3 linked regions of the Callithrix jacchus genome follow. The protein of the gene in region 1 interacts with the protein of each later gene in a pairwise test. Links are inferred from orthologs where the notes say so. Each region holds a gene or a part of one and is shown in the gene's direction. Other genes may lie near its edges.

Region 1 (4,927 bases):
AGAACCCTGGCTCTCCTGGGCTGGGCACAAAATTATTCTACAGGAAACCTGTGGGAATTCTTCTGGGACAAAATATTGGTCAGTGCCGAATTCAGCTGTGTCTGTGACACTCCCATTCTAACTAGGGCCTATCTGACGTCAACAGGAAGTAAGGCTGTTGCTGTGGGCCCAGGGAGTCTGAGAGAAGAAAGTCAGTTCAGAGCCCTGGCTGCCCTGTCCCACACTCCACCCTTCTGGCAAGAGTCCAGTCCCTAGATGAGGTAGGGAGTGAGTGGTGGAGTTAAAAATCTTTGGGCCGGGGACAGTGGCTCATGCCTGTAATCCCAGCACTTTGGGAGGCTGACGTGGGCGGATCACTTGAGGTCAGGGGTTTGAGACCAGCCTGGCCAACATGGTGAAACCCCATCTCTACTAAAAATATTTTTTTAAAAAATTAGCTGGGCATGGTGGCGTGTGCCTGTAATCCCAGCTACTCGGGAGGCTGAGGCAGGAGAATTGCCTGAACCCAGGAGGCAGAGGTTGCAGTGAGCTGAGATCGCGCCATTGCACTCCAGCCTGGGTAACGAGTGAAACTCCGTCTCAAAAAAAAAAAAAACAAACAAAACAAATTAGCTGTAATCCCAGCTACTTAAGAGGCTGAGGCAGGAGAATCACTTGAACCCGGGAAATGGAGGTTGTACTGAGCCAAGATCAAGCCCACCACACTCCAGCCTGGGTGACAGGGCAAGATTTCATCTCAAAAAAAGAAAAAATCTTTGAGCTAAATCTCCAGACAGCACAGGCAGCTGCAGAAACCCACCAGGAAGCTGTCCAGACCCAAGCCTTTTGTGCAGCTTGACTCAAGGTCCCGTCACAGTGATTTTTCTCACTATGTATGAGACATGGAGAGCTGACTCCAAATACTACTGCTCTGCCCACTGATGGCTGGACTACTGATGTGCATCACTCTCCACTCCTCTCACCCTGCAGTGGGTCATGGCCCTGTGCTGGGGCAGAGGAGAAAAATGGGCTGCCTTCTTTAGGACAAACCCTCACTCCAGCTCAGCTAGGGTTCTGTGATTAGAATGCACAGTTGAGGTGTGTTTACTTTATTCTTTGTTGTTTCTGTTTTTTGAAGCAGGGTCTCACTCAATTGCCCAGGCTGGAGTACAGTGACACAAAAATACTAGCCACAAAGACAAAGATTGTAGCCACAATCTCCCAGGCTCAAAAGATCCTCTTACCTCAGCGTCCTGAATAGTTGGGACTACAGGCACACGCCACCACATCCGGCTATTTTTTTTCTTTTTTTTTTTTTTTTTTTTTTTTAGTAGAGATGAGGTCTTGCTATGTTGCCTCATAAGCAACATAAGCTGGTCTCAAACTCCTGAGGATCATCAAGTGATCCTCCTACCTTGGCCTTCCAAAGTGCTGGGATTGCAGTATGTAAGCCACTACACCCAGCCTGATTTTACTTTAAATGAGAGCCCCTCCTTAGAGTCCCTCAGCTGTTCCTAGCCCCTGGCCATCTGCCTTCAGTTGCCCCTGCTTCTGTCGTATCCTTAGGACTACACTGAGTGCTGAGGCACTAGGCAGGTAGCAGAAGCCAAATGATTCTGCCTTTGCCTTATCTACTCATAGTGTGCAGAACGAGAAGCAGTGGTGGGTTCAGGGCAGGCACCAGCTGGGCAGCTATATATATGTACATCAGTGACGGGGCCAAAGGCAGTCAGTTTCCAAGGACTGCCCCAGAGGCCTTTTTTCAGAGAAGCCCTGGGTTCCTCAAGGGCCCTGTGTCCATGCTGGCCCATCTTGCAGGACGAGCCTGTGGAATGGGAGACACCTGACCTTTCTCAAGCTGAGATTGAGAAGAAGATCAAGGAGTACAATGGCCAGATCAATAGCAACCTCTTCATGAGCTTGGTGAGTTGACTGCTCAGGAAGCGGGTGTGGAGAGGAGGTACCCAGCTGTATGCCTGATACCCAGAGGGTCACAACTGAGGATTCTTGGGTGGTGATACCTCAGGCAGTAATTACCAAGCGGTAATTAGTACATACCCAGCCTAGCCTCAGGTAGACAGAACCCTAGTGCTTCATCTCACCTGGAACCTACTGTCAAGGTTTGGTTTCTTTATTTATTTAGAACAAGGACGGCTCTTACACAGGCTTCATCAAGGTTCAGCTGAAACTGGTGCGCCCTGTCTCAGTGCCCTCCAGCAAGAAGCCACCCTCCTTGCAGGATGCCCGGCAGGGCCCAGGACGGAGTGCAAGTGTCAGGCGCCACACTTCCTTTTACCTGCCCAAGGATATTGTCAAGCACCTGCATGTGTTGTCACGCACAAGGGCACGTGAGGTCATTGAGGCCCTGCTACGAAAGTTCTTGGTGGTGGATGACCCCCGCAAGTTTGCACTTTTTGAGCGGGCTGAGCGTCACGGCCAAGGTGGGCTTCCTACTCCACCCTGCCTCATGTGAGGGTATATACCGTGCATGCAGGGACTGAGCAGCTGGCCTGTCTCTGATCATTACTTCCCCTTCACAGTGTACTTGCGGAAGCTGTCGGATGATGAGCAGCCGCTGCAGCTGCGGCTCCTGGCGGGGCCCAGTGACAAGGCCCTGAGCTTCATCCTGAAGGAAAATGACTCTGGGGAGGTGAACGTGAGTACATAGTTCTTCTTAGTTTCTTGGTTGTCACTGGACGGGGCTGATGGACTGTAGCTACAGTAAGGCTTGGAGGAGGAATTGTGCTGGAGGACAAGCCTTGCAAAGCAGTTTTAGGAGTGTATAGGTATTGTAACTAAAGTGAAGGCTTCCAGACCACTCATGCCAAAGCATAGGGTTGTCCCAAGAGGCCAGGAAGAATTGTCTTGGTGCTTTGATCTTTCCTGGTGTGGAAAATCTTCTGGAGATGCAGGAGTCCATCTAATGACATGAAGGGGCCCCTTCAGGCATTCGACTTTTTACCTGGAAGCTGTGAAGTGGAATTAGACCCAGATTGTGCCTGACCTGTCCACAGGGAACATCTGATTTGGTTACCTCAGTAAGGTGACTGTTTTGTAGGACCCATCTTCCATACAAACTGCTGTCACAGATCCTAGCAGAACTCATTCAGCCAGGAGCCTGACATCAGAAAGCCCAGTCCAACTCGTGTGAACGAACATGAGGTGCTAGTCTTCTCTGAGAAGCTGGCTTGGCCATCCCTTCTGTAGCCTGTATATTCCCCTTTACCCCCTTGCAGTGGGACGCCTTCAGCATGCCTGAACTGCATAACTTCCTGCGTATCCTGCAGCGGGAGGAAGAGGCGCACCTCCGCCAGATCCTGCAGAAGTATTCCTATTGCCGCCAGAAGATCCAAGAGGCCCTGCACGCCTGCCCCCTGGGGTGACCTTGTACTCCCAGGTGGAAGGCGGAGAGCAGGCAGTGCCAAGAGCGTGCTGTGTGAGTGTGACAGGGCCAGTGGGACCTGTGGAATGAGTGTGCATGAAGGCCCTCCTCCACTGGGGGAATGAGCCCAGAGAACAGCGAAGGAGCTTGCCCCCTGTGTCCACCTGTGGGTGTAGCTGGGTATGGCTCTGCACCCCTCTGCCCCTCTGTACTGGGCATTGGTGGGCCAGGGCTACCCTGGGAAGGAGCAGGAGTGGAGCAGACAGAAGTCTCCTCAATTTGTGTCTCAGAAGTGAGAATCTTGGAGACCCTACAAACAGAACAGGGTCATGTTTGCAGGGGTGAGGGCCCTCATCTATAGGGAAGGGTTTTGGATCTTGAATGTGGTCTCAGGATATCCTTATCAGAGCTAAGGGTGGGTCCTCAGAATAAGGCAGGCACTGAGGAAGAGTCTTGGTTTCTCTCTACAGTGCCAACTCCTCATACACCCCGAGGACAGGGAGTACTGGCTCACAGTGCAGCAAGTGCCTTAATGCCTCATAGGAAGAGGATATCCCTGGGCCAGGGTCTGTGTGAATGTGGGCACTGGCCCAGGTTCATACCTCGTTTGCTAATCAAAGCCAGGGTCTCTCCCTCAGGTATTTTCCATGAAGTGTGTGGATGTATGTAATGTGTGGTGGCCTCAGCTGAATGGCTCCTGTGGGGAAAGGGGTCGGGGTGACAGTCATCATCAGGGCCTGGGGCCTGAGAGAATTGGCTGAATAAAGTTTTAAAGATCCTCCTGCTGTTGGACTCTTTTTTTTTACATATAAAGTACAGTAGAGATGGGAGTCTCTCTGTGTTGCCTAGGCTCCTGCCAACTTGGCCTCCCAAAGTGTTGGGTTTACAGGTGTGAGCCACCGTGTCCAGCCTGGACTCTATTATAGGCACAGAGCTGCAGTTGCCCCTCATGCTGCTGGAAGTTGCCAAGGGTGATGGACAGGCCCACAGGTGTCTGGCAAAGTCACCATGGACCAACTTGTGAAGAAGATGTATCCATATATAGTCATCACTCAGCTCCCTGAGGCTCAGGTTCTGTTGGGGACAAGAATGGACTATAGTCAGAACTTAGGGAAACTGACCTGGGCATGATGGCTCACACCTGTAATCCCAGCACTTTGAGTGGCCTAAGCGGGTGGATCACTTGAGGCCAGGAGTTTGAGGCCACCCTGGCCAACATGGCTAAACCCCATCTCTACCAAAAATACAAAATAATTTAGCTGGGCATGGTGGTGGGCATGTCTAGTCCCAGCTACTCGGGAGGCTGAGGCAGGAGAATTGCTTGAACCTGGCAGGTGAAAGTTGCAGTGAGTGGAGATCACAGCACTGCACTCCAGCCTGATGAATAGAGCAAGACTCGGTCTCCAAAAAAAAAAAAACGGCGGGCACAGTGGCTCACACCACACCTGTAATCCCAGCACTTTGGAAGGCCAGGGTGGATCACCTGAAGTCGGGGGTTTTTAAGACCAGCCAGACCAACATGGTGAAATCCCGTCTCTACTAAAAATTAAAAAAAAAAATAGCCGG
Region 2 (4,927 bases), on another chromosome or scaffold:
ACCCTCTCCTTGGGGACAGGTTTCCTCATCCCAAAGTTAGCCTGGGGGTGAGCTGAGGTTAAAGCCAGGTTCCCTGGCTCCCACAGTTCTTCCCCGTAAATGTTTCTAGTTTTAGGTTCATCCTGAACTCACCAGTCCAACCACAAAACTTTTCTAAGGAGAAGCAGAATCGAAATCTCTGCCTATCATCAAAATTCCCATATGTCCTTAACAGAAGGCCAAATAGTCTGTGGTGTGGCTTATGCTAGGCTTTTGTCATCAAGCACTTGCAGGACACACAGCCACCTGCACTCATTCTGAGGGTCTCCTGCAGTGCTTCACAGGTTCTCAGCAGTGACAGAGGCAAAGTGTTGCAGCACAGACTGGGGACGGGAGTCCCTGGCAGCTTTGCTTTAGGATGACGTGTACTTCCCTCTCCTTTGCTTCCCTCCCAGGAGATGGCTGGCCGAGCTCTCAAGCAAACTGGTAGCAGGAGCATCGAGGCCGCCCTGGAGTACATCAGCAAGATGGGCTACCTGGACCCAAGGAATGAGCAGATTGTTCGGGTCATTAAGCAGACCTCCCCAGGTGAGCCCAGGCCCACAGCATGGTGGGCGAAGACGGTTTGTGGCTTTAGGACACAAAACCATGGGCAGAGAGGTCCGACCTGGCCTGGCCAGAATCAGTTTCCTGGCACATTGCCTCATTCTGGTAACAGGCAAGCTGAGCCTGCCCTGCCCTGAGAGAGCCAGGCCCTGGTAGGGGCAGCCCCAGGTGGTAGAACAGGGGATGCGCCCGGCGCTTGTGAAATTACCTTGGTACTTCCTACCTAGGGGAAGGTGTGTGCTTGTTTTATGAAAGATCAAAAAAGTCAGCAAAGTGGGAGTAAAAATGGTCTTTTCACTTTTCTCTTGGGCCTGTGGAGGGATCTTTGACAAGGGTGGCTTCTTTCCTCAATTCTAAAACACACCTCTCTTACATCATAGCCTCTGAGAGTGGCTGCTCGACGGCAGGCAGCATGGGCAGAGCTGAGCCCCCCTCAGCATCCCCTTTGAAGGGCCTGAGGCACCGCACCAAAGCCCTGCTTTTCATTGACTATGGGCGAATGTTACCTTCCCAGGATGGAGCACATGGGCCCTGTGATCTGTGATTGGTACCTGAGGCCCCTGGGGTGTGATAAAGGCGCAGTGGCTCAAGCCTGTAATCCCAAGACTGTCTGATCTGGTCTGGTCTGGTCTGGCTTTGTCTTGTGTAATCCCAACTCTTTGGGAGACCAAGGCCAGAGGATGGAGACAGGAGTTAGAGACCAGCCTGGGCAACACAGGGAGACCTCATCTCTATTTAAAAAAGAAAAATTATAATAATTAGCAAGAGCTTTACCTATTTTATGGGAAACCTACTTCAAGTGGCAAGTGAGAAAAATCTCACTTTTGTAAGTTGAATATTCCTTGTTAAGAAGACACACATTTCTGTTTTCTTTTTTTAAGAGAAGAAACTTCCTTAAACAGCTGCAGCTGGCCATCCATGTCAGGATTCTTCCAGTTTTGAGGTCTTAGAGCACAGCTCAAAGGGAAAGCCAGGCCCCATGTTCCCTGCAGATTTCCCTCTGCACTTGCCTTTGGTGTGTGTATTCACTGACATCTTCTGAGCCCAGGGAAAACCAAGCCTTAGTGTGCCTGTGACCTCTGGTCAGTGCCAGGCTGTCAGGGCCTTTACTCTGCTAGGTATCAGGTGTGGTCTCCCTATAGGCAAGGCACAGCCTTTCCACCTTGTGGCGCCCTCTGCCAAGTCGAGCCAAGCAGAGAGCAGTTGGCCTAAAGAAGTGAAAGGAGCCTTCGTCCTTCCTTCTGGTGTCTGTTTCAGAGGAGGTGTTCAAAATGGAAGTCAGGATTAAGGTAGCAGCAGATGAAATCAATTTGGATATTTGTTAGAGGGGTTTTGTGTGGTTGTTAGTGTTGTGTATATGTTGCTTTGTTTTAATACAGACCCCCAAAAAACCTAGAAAATGTTTTAATTTGGAAAAGAGGTGAAAGAAAAGTGGAGCAGCCGCTGCACAGTGGATACAGTCCTGCCCTTTGTGTGAGGGAACAGCACTCTGGGAATGGTGCGGTGGTAAACTCAGCCTCCCACAATTTGGGCATGATAAGGTTTTGAAAACAAAGCTGGCACTGTGCAGCTCCCTAGCCTGACAGGAGAGTGACCCTGGTACAGTCCCCAGGGGTTAAGGATGCACCTCAGGACTGGGATGCTGTCTTCTTTTCTGTCCTTGGCCTCCCTGCGTGCCCTTTTGCGCCCACTGCCCTAACACATTAGGGTGACTGGCAGGGCAGAGGGGAGCCCACTGACCCTGTGCTGGGCAGAATGCAGCGCATCAGGGCCCAGGGTTCAAGACCCCCAGCCCTGAGGGCAGCGCTAGAGTGGGGACCAGCCTGAAGGTACCAGAATCCACTGATCACACCCACTTTGATGCTGTCTTCCCATTTTTTTCCACTGCAGGAAAGGGGCTCATGCCAACCCCTGTGACACGGAGGCCCAGCTTCGAAGGAACCCGCGATTCTTTTGCATCCTATCACCAACTGAGCGGCGGCGCCCCCTATGAGGGCCCAAGCTTTGGCGCTGACGGCCCCGCGGCACTGGAGGAGGTGCCGCGGCCGTATGTGGACTACCTCTTCCCCGGAGTCGGCCCCCATGGGCCTGGCCACCAGCATCAGCACCAGCACCCGCCCAAGGGCTACGGCGCCAGCGTGGAGGCAGCAGGGGCGCACTTCCCACTGCAGGGCGCTCACTACGGCCGGCCACACCTGCTGGTACCCGCGGAGCCCTTGGGCTACGGCGTACAGCGCAGCCCCTCCTTCCAGAGCAAGACGCCGCCGGAGACTGGGGGCTATGCCAGCCTTCCCGCCAAGGCCCAGGGGGGCCCTCCCGGCACCAGCCTCGCTTTCCCGCCCCCCACCTCCGGGATCTACGTGACACACCCACACCACAAGCAGGCCAGCCCAGCGGCCCACCAGCTGCATTTGCTGGGCTCCCGCAGCCAGGTGTTCACCAGCGACAGTCCCCCTCAGAGCCTGCTCACCCCCTCTCGCAACAGCCTCAATGTGGACCTGTATGAATTGGGCAGCACCCCCGTCCAGCAGTGGCCAGCCGCCACCCTGGCCCGCCGGGACTCCCTGCAGAAGCCGGGCCTGGAGGCGCCGCCGCGCGCGCACGGGACCTTCCGGCCCGACTGCCCAGTGCCCAGCAGGACCAACTCTTTCAACAGCCACCAGCCACGGTCGGGCGCTCCTGGCAAGGCTGAGCCCTCCCTTCCCGCCTCCAACACCGTGACGGCCGTCACGGCCGCACACATCCTGCACCCGGTGAAGAGCGTGCGTGTGCTGAGGCCTGAGCCGCAGACGGCTGTGGGGCCCTCGCACCCTGCCTGGGTGCCCGCACCTGTGCCGGCCCCGGCCCCAGAGGGCCTGGATGCCAAGGAGGAGCACGCCCTGACGCTGGGTGGCGCGGGCGCCTACCCATTGGACATGGAGTACGGAGGCCCAGACCGGAGGTGCCCGCCGCCGCCCTACCCGAAGCACCTGCTGTTGCGCAGCAAGTCTGAGCAGTACGACCTGGACAGCCTGTGTGCGGGCGTGGAGCAGAGCCTCCGTGGAGGCCCCAGCGAGCCCGACGGTGGCGACAAGAGCCGGAAAAGCACCAAGGCGGACAAAGGCGGGAAGGATAAAAAGCAGATCCAGACCTCTCCCGTTCCCGTCCGCAAAAACAGCAGAGACGAAGAGAAGAGGGAGTCACGCATCAAGAGCTACTCGCCATACGCCTTTAAGTTTTTCATGGAGCAGCACGTGGAGAATGTCATCAAAACCTACCAGCAGAAGGTCAACCGGAGGCTGCAGCTGGAGCAAGAAATGGCCAAAGTAATTTCTCACTTCCTCTTACTGTTTGCTCCCAGCTCTTCCGTTTACTGGTAATAGGAAGCATGCACAATCCCTTTTCTGTTTGGACTGTATATCCCTTATCAACACAGCTAACAACGGGCGACAGTCTGGTTTTGGGGCCAGCAACTTGGAGAAGTTGCAAATGGTGTGATCTCCCTTTCTCCTTTCCCCTTTCCCCTTGACTCTTCCAAAGAATCAGAGATAGCTGTGCGTAATGTAGCCAGCCTAATGTAGTTAATCTACAATTACATTGTAGGTAAGTAAACAAATTGAGTTTTAGGGCATGTTCTTAGGTAGCAGAATTCATCACTAATTAATAATAGAACATTCTGAATGAGTAGAAACAAAGTTTGAGGTTTTATAAATTGATATTGTGGGATTTGGGCAGAAAAACATATCTAGTAGTGATCCATTCTTTTAAGTGTTTAATTAGTAACTAATTATTTAAATATAACTTAGTTGACACTAAAGTCCTGGAGAAGGTAATTATTGACGAAATTATGTAAATTAAAATGTAAGAAATTTAAATCACACAAAGCCAATAATTCCAAAGCCTAAAAACCAGATTTGTGTTCTTTCCAATGTCCCATATTCATTGACTTTTTAAAGATATATCTTTCATTTATACGTTTATTTTTTATCTATACATAGTATTTGTATCTTTGTGGGGTACATGCGATATTTTGTTACATGCATAGGATATGTAATGATGAAGTCAAGGTATTTAGGGTATCCATTGCCCTGGTGTATTTGTTATTTCTGTGTTGGAAACATTTTGAGTCCTCTCTTCTAGCTATCCAAATATAGAATACATTTTTACAAACCATGGTCACACTACTTAATGAGTTTGTTCTTAATATCCAACTGTATGTTTGCACCAGTTAACCTCCCATCTCCCCTCAGCACACACACTGTTCCCACCTCTGGTAACTGTCATTCTACTCTCTACCCCCATGAGATCAACTCTCTTAGCTCCCACATATCAGTGAGAACGTGTGGTGTATTTTTGTTTGTTT
Region 3 (5,510 bases), on another chromosome or scaffold:
TGAACTTTGGGGTGGTTTCTTGCACAGCAGTCAATACCTGGAAATCCCTTCCTGCAGTGCTTCCCATAAATGCCAGGACCGATAAAACAGTACTGAAATAATTTGAAGGAGGGACAGATGAGAGAGTCAGGGAAGGAACAGGGGAACAGAGACCTAAGTCTTCTAGGAAGAGGTGTCTTTTTTTAAAAACAGCTTTATTGAGATGTAACTCACATATGTTCACCCACTGAAAGAGTACAATCCAATGCCTTTTGGTATATTCAGAGTTGTAGAACAATTACCACAACCAATTTTAGAACATTTTCATCACTCCAAAATGAAATCTCACACCTTTTAATTAGTCCCTCCAATTTATCTATGCTTCTTTCCCCCAGGCCATAGGCAGCCGCTAATCCACCACAGGCTCTAAAGATCTGCCTATTCTGAACATCTCCAAACCTTCTAAAGTGATGCCATTAAAAGGCACTATAGCAAAGAGCATCATGCAACTTGCATCACACTGAGGGGCCTGGCACAGAAGTGGTGGTGGCATCACGCAGGGCCTGATCCATGGGGTCCAGGGTGACCATGTGGGTCATACAAATGGCATTACATAATATGTCATGCCTGGCTAATTTTTTTGTAGAAAAGCGGTTTCGCCACATTGCCCAGGCTGATCTTGAACTCCTGGGCTCAAGCAATCCTCCTGCCTTGGCCTCCAAAAGTGCTCAGATTACAGATGCACGCCATCACACCCAGTCCCTTGAATACTTGAAGGCAAATACATGGCAAATGATTAATTAATGTTGCTTATTTTATCCTGTTTTGGGCACATGGGATGCCATCCCTGGGTGGCCCTGAAGGGTGGGTGCTCAGGTGTTAAGTTCTGTAGATGGAATATCCCTGGGAAAGGCAAGGCAATTAAAAACAGTGAGAGGTTGCTCTGGTTAAGTTTTCTCCTGTAACTTTCCCCAGGGGTCAACTGGGTAGAATCTGCCATTTTCCTAATATTCATTGATGGTAGTGGCATTCAGAAGCGCAATAGCTGAAGCGAGAACTCACAGTGGAGAGAAAGGTCTGTCTCTCAGGCCCCAGAAGAGGTTAAACATCTGTGGATGTCCAGTTTGGTAGTGCAGGCCCTGAAATCAGACCAACCTGGGTTTAAATCCCCAAACCTATACTCTAAGCTATGTGACCTTGGGCTAGATACTTCACCTCTCTGGCCTTATGAAATAGGAATAATAATAATACCTCTAGGTTGTTAGGAGTATTAAATGAGGTAAGGCACTGAAAACGTGTAGGCACTGTGTTAAATCATTAAATAAATAAAAATGGGGATGACCTTATAGGCTTGACATGGGGGATTAAATGAGATAATATATAAAGGCAAATACATGGCAAATGCTTAATTAATGTTGCTTATTTTTATGTCTGCAAACTGACGTAAAGGGGAGGCCTTTAAGAAAAACAGTGGGGCAATTTGCACGTTGATGCTCTGTAACAAATCCGAGGAGAGAATGTGCAGGGGGCCCGTTGGGACCAGAGTTCAACCAAGTAAGCGGCAGGAAACCACAAATGCCTCCAGGGGTTCTGGGGCAGCACCGCCTCACCAAAATCATACAGAACTTGGTTTGCTAAGAATCGTCAGCTCTTCTCATGGACGCGCTTCATGTATCTTTGTCGGTGAATTGGGGCCCAGGACCCAGGTAGAAGTGCATCGTGTACCGACTATTTCGTGCGCTCCAGTATCGCAGGAAGACAGCGTCGCCGACACCCTAGATACCACCGGACAACGCCGGGAGGCGCCTTTACCACTAGGCGGTTCCGGGTCCGCGCCCGACCGCGCCACTTGACTCGCGCCCCGAACCACGTGATCAGGGCCGTGGCTCCGCCCCGCTCCCGCGGCGCGCTCCGCTTCCGGTAGGGGCGGAAAGCGGAAGTGTGGGTGGGTCTGCAGGGCGGGCATAGGGAGGTCCGCGGGGAGGATGGAGCAGTGAGCGGGTCTGGGCGGCTGCCGGCAGCGCCATGGAGACGGTACAGCTGAGGAATCCGCCGCGCCGGTGAGGGGCCACTAGCTAAGAGGACAGGCAAGGGGGCGGGGGAAGAAAAGGCGGGAACTGGTTGCGGGGAGACACCTGTGTGGGAGTCCCCGGAGCGAAGCGACCCAGCTGATGGGGCACCTGCTGAGTGGGGGGGACGTCTGGTGGGTGAGGGTCCGGGCGAGGGGAGCATCTGCTAAGGGGATAGACTTGGGACCGGTGAGAGGGAACACTCGCTGCGGGGAGACTCTGCTGAGGAACGTGGGGACAAGTTAGGGAGAGTACCTGCTGAGGCCGGGCCACTCTGGGGAAGGCTGTCCACGGAGGTAACGGGGAGAATACCGAAGCAGGGTGAGAACCTGTGAGGGGTCTTTTTAAGGGGGCAGATCGAGAACTGGCCGAGAGGAAGGCCGGGTGGACTTTCTAAGGGTCCCAAGTCCCACTTGAGGGGTGCAGTTTTGGGGATCTGTGGAGAGGAACAGCTTTGCGCCTAAGCCTGAAGGCATGCGAAGAGAGTTTGAGGGTCTAGCAAGGGAGGGGAGGGTGGAGGGCAGCATTTGAGAGGATGCTGTTGGTGGTGACTCCACTGTAGGATGGCATCTTTTATTACTGATGTTCAGAGTGTCTTTCTGATGGTCTTCACGTTCTCCTCAGCCCTTCAGAACCTGACATTGGGAGGTAGGTGAGGAAATAAGAGGATATTTTCGAGATGGGCAGACCGAGGTCCAGAAGAGTTGGGAAACGTGTTTCCTTCTTTATTCCGGGTCACTGAACCCGGCCAGACTGTGCCCTTTTCAGACCTCAGTTGTTTTGTGTATATCAGCGCCAGATCCTAGTGGTACCTGGAATTGCTTTAGGTCAAGATCAGGATGGTGGCTGATCCTAGAAAATCTGAACTCCTGGATTTCCCCTCTGGACATTTCGGGTCGTTTACCACTCTGCCACATCTGAAGAAAAGTAGGGAGTAGAGACAGAAGGAGTCATGCTTCTCTGAGGTGCAGTGTGGTTACTTCTGTTTCATAGAGACGTCTGACTTCCTGCAGCAGAATGAACTGTAAAGAAGGAAGTGTTTAGGGTGTGGAAGTGCAGGACAACCGAGAGGTGAAGAGAAGGGATTGACTATCTGGACAGCACTCTTGGGGGTTGTTCGAGCTTAGGGGTGTTTGAAGTGCACAAACATTGCAGAAGGCAAATAGGTGGTTGGGATGGGCTTCGGATTCACCCTAGCTTAGTGTGCTGAGACTGTAGTAGTAATGGTTAATTACACTCATATTGCACTTACCAGGTGCCAGGCACTCTTCTAAGTGCTTTCCATGTCTCCTACTGAAGCATATGAAATTGCTGATATTTGACCATTTTTGAACCATAAAATGGTAACTTCATATGGTTCAATTTATTGACTCATTTGAACCTCACAACAATCCTGTGCGGTAGATATTCCTATATGTCTGTTTTACAGATGATAAAACTGAGATACAGACAGGGTAGTGATTTGCTTAGAGAAGTCATAGCGAGTAAGAGGCAGAGCTAGGATTTTAATATCTGTGGGGTCTGGTCCAAAGTCCATGCTTTTAACTGCCTCACTCTGATCCCTCTCTGAAAGTACCCCTGTTTCACAGGTCTCTGTGTATGTTAGCAAATATTTGCTATAGTACCACAGTGATCCAGTTACAAATGCACACTGGTTATGTTTCTTTCTGAACTATGTTTGTTCTTTCTCCTTGGTTTCTTTCTCTGAGGCCTTGTTTTAATTGAAAAGGGGATTAGGAATCTGAGTTTTGTTTCCCCCTTTGACTTGTGTTACATAATCTTGGGCAAAGGACTAAACTTTCTTGGCATGCTCATTCCTGTACCTTTTGGATTTAAAAAAAATGTATTAAAAGTGCAAGAGAAGAGCATTACAGGACTGAGTTCTTAAGTGACTGGTGATTCCCTGCTCATTATAACTAGTAGACTGCCTAATTTGAAGCAGATCAATTTTATTATCATTTCTATCAGTTTTTAGGACATGACAAAGTATCATGGACTGGGTGGTTTAAGCAACAGAAATTTATTTGCACACCTTTCTGAAGGTTAGAGATCTGAAATCAAGGCATTGTCAGAGTTGTTTCTTTTGAGGCCTTTGCTTGACTCGTAGATGGCTATGTCTCCATGTTCTTCCCTCTGTACTTGTCTGTGTCCTAATCTCCTCTTATAGGAACACTAGTCATACTGGATTAGGGCATGCCCATATGACCTCATTTTATCTTAATTACCTCTTTAAAGGCCTTATCTTCAAATACAGTCACATCCTGAAGTGGTGGGTGATAGGACTTCAACATATGAATTGGGTTAAGCTGGGGACACAGTTTTATTATCATTAAAAATTTTGTCAGCTTATCATATATATTTGTTGTAATCCATATCAAATTCTGTGTGGAAAAAGAGATAGTTATACATAAAATGAACTTTATGGGAGTTCTGAAATGGGAGAAAGCTTTGAGAATTAGCCAAACCTATGACTACTTCATAGACACCATTACTTGTATTTGGAAAGATGTTGGTGTCTTTCAGAAATTCAGATGGCATGTGTTTCCAACAACCCCAGTGCAGGAAATGCCTTTTGTGTTCATGAGTTTGACATTTGTATGTATGTGATTAAGTGAATGATGACAGATTGGTGTCTCATATAGGAATTCATAATTTTAAAAAGTGAGTTGTTATTAGATAATGGTATAGTGGAAGGTGTAGAGTGCATTCCTGGGATGCTGGCCATCTACATGGCCATCTGACTTAGGAGAGGAGCATCCACCAGTATTTGGTCCATGAATGTTTTGTTGACCAGGCTTGTTCATTTATGAGCAAGTTGGAGACTGTCTAGGACCTGAGGAAGTCCCAGGTAAGAGAACTGCGTTATCAGAGTCAGACTATTTTGGTAATAGTGTTTGTTCTGTAAGAGTCATGGTATAAAATATCATTATGAGTCACTTACCAAAATATTTTTTATAGAAATCTTATTTGTTGATAATTTAGTAATATTTTTAGGTGAAATTCTGTTTTATTGTGGTAATTCACAAAGATTGCTGATGACATTCTTGATTCTTTTTTTTTTGAGACGGAGTCTTACTCTGTCGCCAGGCTGGAGTGCAGTGGTGCAATCTCGGCTCACTGCAACCTCCGCCTGGGTTCAAGCGATTCTTCCGCCTCAGCCTCCCAAGTAGCTGGGACCACAGGCACGTGCCACCACACCCGGCTAATTTTTGTATTTTTAGTAGAGACGGGGTTTCACCATGGTCAGGATGTTCTCGATCTCTTGACCTCGTGATCCGCCCGCCTCGGCCTCCCAAAGTCCTGGGATTACAGGCATGAGCCACCGCGCCCGGCCAAAATTCTCGATTCCTATCATTAACATTTGTGAATCCATTTAGCAAATATATTTTGACCACTGCTTGGTTATCAGGCACCAGAGATGTAATAGTGCCTTAAGTTCAAGTTGTTTTTAATAGCTCCAGA

What was found.
Region 2: the proteins of RASSF1 (region 1) and LATS2 come close enough for resonance energy transfer, tested with the Homo sapiens proteins (2 studies listed by BioGRID). The link is inferred for Callithrix jacchus from reciprocal best matches to the Homo sapiens genes RASSF1 and LATS2.
Region 3: the proteins of RASSF1 (region 1) and STK4 interact in binary tests that used the Homo sapiens proteins (3 or more experiments, as listed by UniProt). The link is inferred for Callithrix jacchus from reciprocal best matches to the Homo sapiens genes RASSF1 and STK4.

The regions. Positions count from the first base shown.
Region 1 is NC_133516.1:32,905,125-32,910,051, reverse strand, and holds the end of RASSF1 (ras association domain-containing protein 1), read left to right. Parts: intron 1-1,120; exon of another isoform or gene 1,121-1,797; coding exon 1,798-1,902; intron 1,903-2,122; coding exon 2,123-2,420; intron 2,421-2,519; coding exon 2,520-2,635; intron 2,636-3,215; coding exon 3,216-3,362; 3' UTR 3,363-4,139; downstream 4,140-4,927. UniProt on the Homo sapiens protein: Potential tumor suppressor. Required for death receptor-dependent apoptosis. Mediates activation of STK3/MST2 and STK4/MST1 during Fas-induced apoptosis by preventing their dephosphorylation.
Region 2 is NC_133506.1:140,656,171-140,661,097, reverse strand, and holds part of LATS2 (serine/threonine-protein kinase LATS2), read left to right. Parts: intron 1-434; coding exon 435-567; intron 568-2,475; coding exon 2,476-3,890; intron 3,891-4,927. UniProt on the Homo sapiens protein: Negative regulator of YAP1 in the Hippo signaling pathway that plays a pivotal role in organ size control and tumor suppression by restricting proliferation and promoting apoptosis.
Region 3 is NC_133506.1:40,326,729-40,332,238, forward strand, and holds the start of STK4 (serine/threonine-protein kinase 4), read left to right. Parts: upstream 1-1,939; 5' UTR 1,940-2,004; coding exon 2,005-2,039; intron 2,040-5,510. UniProt on the Homo sapiens protein: Stress-activated, pro-apoptotic kinase which, following caspase-cleavage, enters the nucleus and induces chromatin condensation followed by internucleosomal DNA fragmentation.